Tribolium castaneum: one gene and its partner. The protein of the gene in region 1 interacts with the protein of each later gene in a pairwise test. Links are inferred from orthologs where the notes say so. Each region holds a gene or a part of one and is shown in the gene's direction. Other genes may lie near its edges.

Evidence for each region. The genes of interacting proteins can lie anywhere in the genome.
Region 2: the proteins of ubiquitin-conjugating enzyme E2 W (region 1) and E3 ubiquitin-protein ligase AMFR interact in a two-hybrid assay, tested with the Homo sapiens proteins (2 studies listed by BioGRID and IntAct). The link is inferred for Tribolium castaneum from reciprocal best matches to the Homo sapiens genes UBE2W and AMFR.

The regions. Positions count from the first base shown.
Region 1 is NC_087394.1:30,473,455-30,476,461, forward strand, and holds ubiquitin-conjugating enzyme E2 W, read left to right. Parts: upstream 1-1,312; 5' UTR 1,313-1,470; intron 1,471-1,526; 5' UTR 1,527-1,575; coding exon 1,576-1,599; intron 1,600-1,651; coding exon 1,652-1,743; intron 1,744-1,793; coding exon 1,794-1,896; intron 1,897-1,948; coding exon 1,949-2,104; intron 2,105-2,150; coding exon 2,151-2,226; intron 2,227-2,277; coding exon 2,278-2,291; 3' UTR 2,292-2,492; downstream 2,493-3,007. Other genes in the region: putative inositol monophosphatase 3, read right to left, coding at 1-170. UniProt on the Homo sapiens protein: Accepts ubiquitin from the E1 complex and catalyzes its covalent attachment to other proteins.
Region 2 is NC_087396.1:17,618,559-17,622,074, forward strand, and holds part of E3 ubiquitin-protein ligase AMFR, read left to right. Parts: intron 1-1,420; coding exon 1,421-1,678; intron 1,679-1,724; coding exon 1,725-1,877; intron 1,878-2,824; coding exon 2,825-3,165; intron 3,166-3,219; coding exon 3,220-3,330; intron 3,331-3,376; coding exon 3,377-3,516. UniProt on the Homo sapiens protein: E3 ubiquitin-protein ligase that mediates the polyubiquitination of lysine and cysteine residues on target proteins, such as CD3D, CYP3A4, CFTR, INSIG1, SOAT2/ACAT2 and APOB for proteasomal degradation.

The DNA.
Region 1 (3,007 bases):
TTTTCCGCTGCCTTAATTGCTACCTCCAAGAGCTGCTTTAAATTTATCTTAACGCTTGGAGGATCATTATTTGAACTTGTAGTAAACACGTAAATAAACAATATCAGCACAGCTCCCGATATTACACACAGCCCTGTCTTGTTTAGTCGGATAACACCCCCAAGATTCATTGTTATGCAGCCGATGAGTCTCTATCTACATCATTCGCTTTTTGTACTTATTTACTAAAATATTTTCAATTAATCAACCAATATCATTCAATACCACCGGTCTTACAGTTGAATAACAATTATCTTAAGACTATTTAGAAACAAACGTCATCGCATTTTTGCACCTTACAAATAATCAAAAAAACCTTCAACCACAATAATGGTGAAGTTAGTCACAAAATCACCAAACGCTAAACGTCATTTTCAAGGATAGGGCATAGGCATAGGCGTGCGAAATTTTTTTCATAATACAGATAATAACTGTGATAATAATAATAAAAGCACTACCACAAGCAGTACTATTTGCTTCCCAATTTAAATTTTACATTTGTTTTAGAAATCCACCGGGTGGTTATCAAATATTGTATAAAACAATCATAGCCAACTTACGTCAAATGTCGCTGCGCTCCATGGAGTTTTTGTTTAGGAAAAAAAATCTATGTTAAACTTAATCTCAGCGACACACTTTGAGCTAAGAAAACCCACCAAAAACTCTCAATTTGTGCTCCTTTTAATCAAAAAATGCTGTTGCAAAATTCTACTGTAAACTGAAATGAATATATATATTTGCTTTCCTGCTAATTCCGGTCAATAATTAAGTAAAAAACAACTTCTTAACACTCTGCAATTCAAGTACTACCGGACCAAATTTTACATTCAGTTCATTTTTATAAAAAAACATTTTGGTGGAAATTGGGTACTCTTGGCATTAACTTTTATATGAGTTGTCATAGTAAAATCTTAGTTAATTCCGCCACAATGTTTTTTATGAAAATGAACCAAAATTAGTTTTTTTTTAATAACGTTTTATTTTATATTTAGGATTAAGCCCTTATTAATAGACAACTATATTCGGTTCACTTTCATAAAAACCATTGTAGTAGAAATTTGGTACTCTTGGCATTAACTTTTATATGAGTTGTCAAACCGAAAATAGAAATATAACTTTTCTGTGACATAGCGGAAAATCAAATCAGTCAAATTGTGGTATTAAAAAAATTCGACACTTTTGATGAATCTTTTAAAAAAGCGTTCACCATAGGGCACTTGGGTCTTGGTTTTTCTATAGTAGTGTATACATAAGACAAATCGTTGAGGCTGGCAAAAAAATCCTCGATTTGTCCCCATGGTCTCTCCGCCACTGGCGGGAATGAATAATAGAATTATTTACTTTGGAACCATGGTTATCTGTCCATTGTTCGTGAATTGAGGAGCATTGGGGGACAGTAGGTAATTTGGTCGGTTGTTTTGAACGTCAAAAGTAAGTTTTTGGCTATTTATTTGAAGCTAAATTAAAGTCTGTTGATCTGTGTTCAGTTAAAATCTCACAATCTAATCTGTGGTATGATGAAAAGTTAATTCCAAAATGGCAGGGTTGTCGCCGTCTGAAGTAAGTAAATTGCATTGTTTTTCTAACCTCTTCACGAAATCTCTCAATTTAGAGAAGGTTGCAAAAGGAGCTCATGTCACTGATGAAAGAACCTCCACCAGGAGTTGAAGTCGACTTCGATCTGGCAGAGCAAAATTTATTGCAGTAAGTTAGCAATAAACTGCCAATAACAATGCTAAATACATGACTTCTAGTTGGATCATTAATATGGAAGGGGCTGCAGGTACATTGTACGAAGGAGAACGTTTTCAATTGCAGTTTAAATTTAGTAACAAATATCCCTTTGATTCACCAGAAGTATGGGATTTTTTGTTAGACTAGTATTGTGTTTATATTGTTTGCGTTCCAGGTGACGTTTGTAGGCAATAACATTCCAGTTCACCCGCATATTTACAGCAATGGACATATTTGCCTTTCCATATTAACAGATGATTGGTCTCCTGCACTGTCTGTTCAGTCTGTTTGTCTTTCAATTGTTTCTATGCTCAGTAGTTGTAAAGAAAAGGTGAGACCTTATTTAGTATTACAGTATTTTTAATCTTGTTTTACAGCAAAGACCTCCCGATAATGCTTTCTATGTAAAAACTTGCAATAAAAATCCAAAGAAGACAAAGTGGTGGTATCACGGTATTATCTCCTATAATGTAACCCACAATTCCTGATTATTTTATGTTTCAGATGATTCTGTATGAAACTATATAAATAACTTATGGTCTTGTGATTTTAATGATTCTGTTACGCTGGATGCTGTTAGTTTTAAATTTTTAATAGATGTTATTTATTATGACAAAGCTAATTATAAAATATCTTTAGAATTGGATTAACAGTTTTTACATAGTGCCTGTCCTCCAGATGTTGTGTTGTAATTAATTAAATATAAGAGTTAAAATTAATATTTTAAACCCGCCCTGGGCTGTTGCTTATTTCTTACCCGTGTACAAATTTTACGTCTATCAATTAACAAAATCAAAACCGAAAAATCTTTGTTTTAAAGGATTCCTTAATTATCGGACTCGTTTCTGATAAATAAATGAGAAAAAAAAATTAGGAGAAAATAAACGCAACCCAACATACACGCACCTAATTTTCGTTAGGTTGGTATTAAAGGCGTGGTCGGGGATTTACCCACATATGTGAAGACAATCACTTGACATTTATCAAAGCGCATTCGAAATAGTATGTTACGTGTCATGTGGGTGCAGCAAAATTAAATTTTCGATTTAAAGACGTATCTAAGCACGAACTCAGATACAAAATTTTGATGATGTACTAAAAGGCTCTTCTGGGTTACCTTTTGTTTTTGGTAGTAGCTGCGGTAGTGTTTTTTTTTGAAGTGAATATAAACCATAAAGGCTAAGAAGGTTTGAATAAAAGTACATTGGTTCAAATGCAATTTGGTAACACGTCA
Region 2 (3,516 bases), on another chromosome or scaffold:
ATGTTTTTGATTTTTAATTTGCGTTTTGATATTGGGGCAGCTTTTTTCCCATGAATTTTGGTAGAATTATAGAATTTTCAAAAATTTATTGCATTTGTCGTAAAATTGGCACGCGATCATTGTTAGGTCTGAAGGTTGAGGCAGCTGGTAAGAATTTTTCAGGCCCGGATTACCATTTATTTTATCTGTTTACTGTAAATGGAATGTTAATCTTTAAATCTCACGGCAAGGGTTCATGCGAATTGTAAACGAAGAATTCGTTTGTGCTTAGACCAAAATAGTCATCAATTTGAACATCTGATGTAATATTTAAAATATTTATTTCATATTTTTTTTCTCTCTAACGCTTACAAATAATCCGTATACTAATATGTATCAGTTCACGACGGTTTGCGTGTGGCTCGGTATTTTAAACAATTTTTGCAAAGCTATGGTAAATGGTATGTACTTTTTCAGCCTACTATTTGATTTCCACAATCCTGACTGAATTTTTAGTCATCATAGCATGAATAACAAATGAAAGAAGCTCATTCCCACATGCAAACGGTATAGTGATTTTACCCATAACTGAAATACAGAAGCCGGGAGCTGAGCTAGATCACTCTGTATAGATAAGTTTCAAATTATTAAGGCCCGATTTCTGGTACGATTAAACTGTTAGTATGTATTGCTAAGGTAATGCGTATCTGGTTGGCGTTGATGTTTTAACTGAGATTTAAATTTATCATTCCGTTAAATATGTTTCCAGAAACAGGGCCTATATCCAGATTTAGAAATTCTTTTTTAGAATCGTGAGCTTGCAACGATTCAACCTAAGAGGGAACGCATATTCAGATCCGCGTTCTAATATTATTTTATTACATTTTCTAAAATTTCAAAAATCTAAAAATGAATACATTGTATTAATAGCATTATAATAACCCTCACATTTTTAAAATAATTATTTATCGCCAAGGTTTAAATTTGTATACACAAATATGCCAATCGTGATAAAAAGTATTTTTTTTGATAAGGGATTGTTTTAAATTCCGAAATCACAATTTAAATTCTGTTGCATGTCATAGCTCGAAACTTATCGGTACAAATAAATAACACTAAGTGATTCACATTTAAGTAGGTTGTCTATTGTTGAACTATTCTTATTATGGAGCGGTGTCTTCGTAGGAGTAAAAGTTTTAATTTCATTAATTCTCGCAGATTACGTAATAGTATTACCAAAACAGTATAATTTTTGCGGTACCACTTCTTCGGCCAACGAAACAGTAATTTTCTATCTTAAAGGAAAATGAACTGCAGCGAGTTAAACGAACTCGAAATCCCTGACCCACTAGTCACTTTACACCGAGTTGAAACAATAATCAAAAAAAGTCGGCATGATTAGCTTTCGAAACATCCAATTGAAGCAATTTCTCATTTCCAGACCATGATCAACATGGCTTTCTGTTGGCTCATCCTCGTGGGTACCGCGATCCAGAAGCTGGTGTTTGGCGAATTACGCGTCTCTGAACAGCAACATCTCAAAGATAAGTTTTGGAATTTCGTATTTTATAAATTCATCTTCGTATTCGGAATCATCAACGTTCAATACATCGATGAGGTGTTGCTGTGGTGCTCGTGGTTCTCCCTTTTGGGATTTCTGCATCTCCTCTCCCAGCTCAGCAAAGACAGATTCGAATATGTAAGTACCGGTTTACCGCATTTTCCCAATAACCGATTTTTTTCAGCTGTCTTTTTCGCCGACTACGCCGCTGTGGAGCCACGTGAAGCTTTTGTTCTTGCTAACTGCGATTTTCACACTATCGGGCTTCATGCTGCTGGTGTCGGTCTTTGTGGGATTCTTCGGCGGATTTAATACGTTTGCTTTCATGTCTGCTGAGGTATGTAATTTCTTACGTGGCGTATGCATCTTTTATGGCCGACGCCGCCTGCAACGAACGTCAACTTGGAGACGGCTATAATTTATCTAATTTATTCCTATTATGGTGTTTCCAACGGGAAAACGCAATTTATACCATAATGATATCGTTTTAACGCCTGAAAAATATCCAGAGGTTGACCCGAATAAGTAGACAGTGTTTTACATTTTTGGCAGTATTAATTCTTTACCGCTTATACTTTCAAACGTGAGTAATAATTTACTCATAGTTCGGCAAAGACTAACAAGTTTCGCAAAATTGTAATCCGGGTATCGTGGGTGTCTCTTGCAACAGTATTTTTTTATTTGTAAAATTATGTCAATAACGAGGTTTTTGGACATCTTAAAATAAGATTTGTTTACGCGAGTTCGTAAACATAAATTACCACACACATGTGGGTGAATCAACACCTAATTAAAAATTGACTCATTCATGTTTTATTATTTTTAAATTGGTTTTTGTACTTGTTGCGCTCAGTTATTAAAAAAATACGGGTAATGGTCTTAATAAATCGGAAAATAGATCAACTGACGTCAATCATTGCAAGACGTAGATGTTTTATTTCAATTCAACGTTGCGAGATTTTCAAATTGGTTCGAAAGATTTTTTCTGTAGACTGACGGAATAATTTAGCGTTTAATCACCTAAGTGTTTCGTATAAAGTTTTAATTAACACATATGAGAGGCGTTTCATTTAACCCATGAATAATTAATCTTAATTCTAATTGTTCCTGTTGTGACAATATATTGTTTCGTTGAGGTAATTAGTGATTAGTTTATTTCACACGAATGCAATTTTTTCTGGTGATAATTGGATGTTTTTCCGACCGCTTTAATCCAGTTATCGTAACGATGAGTTTCTATTTTTACAAATAATTACACGGTGTTTGTTTTTTCCTGATTTCCAGGTGGTGTTATTGAGTATTCGTACTCTGCATGTGATAATCCGGTACGCCTTGCATCTGTACGACATGCGACAAGAAGGTGCGTCTTCAGTCAGTGCAAATGAAGAGAATCGAGTTTGGGAAAAACGAGGTCCCATCGCCTATTACACGGAATTGAGTTTCGAACTGACAGCTTTAATAATCGATTTCGTTCATCATCTTCATATGCTAGTTTGGAGTAACATTTTCCTCTCAATGGCTAGTCTAGTGATTTGTATGCAGTTGAGATATTTGTTCCACGAGATTCAGCGGCGCTACAAAAAACACAGGAATTATCTGTGGGTCAGGAATCATCTCGAACAGAAGTACGTTTCCATTATTATATCATTCTTTCTTAGAAAAATTCTGTTTCGGTTTAGTTACCCGATGGCGTCGTCCGAAGAGTTGGCCGACAATTCCGACAACTGCGCCATCTGTTGGGAAAAAATGGAGTCGGCGAGGAAGTTACCGTGCACTCATTTGTTTCACAAGTGAGTTACAGCCAACTGTTTAAATAAAAATAACAAATTTTTCCAGCACTTGTCTGTTGTCGTGGCTGGAGCAAGACACTTCCTGTCCCACTTGTCGTCTAGCCCTCAACATTCAAACGCCCTCAACGTCGCGAATCGATCCTCCCGATTTGCAAGTGGACGCTCCTCAGCCGCAACGTCGCCAGC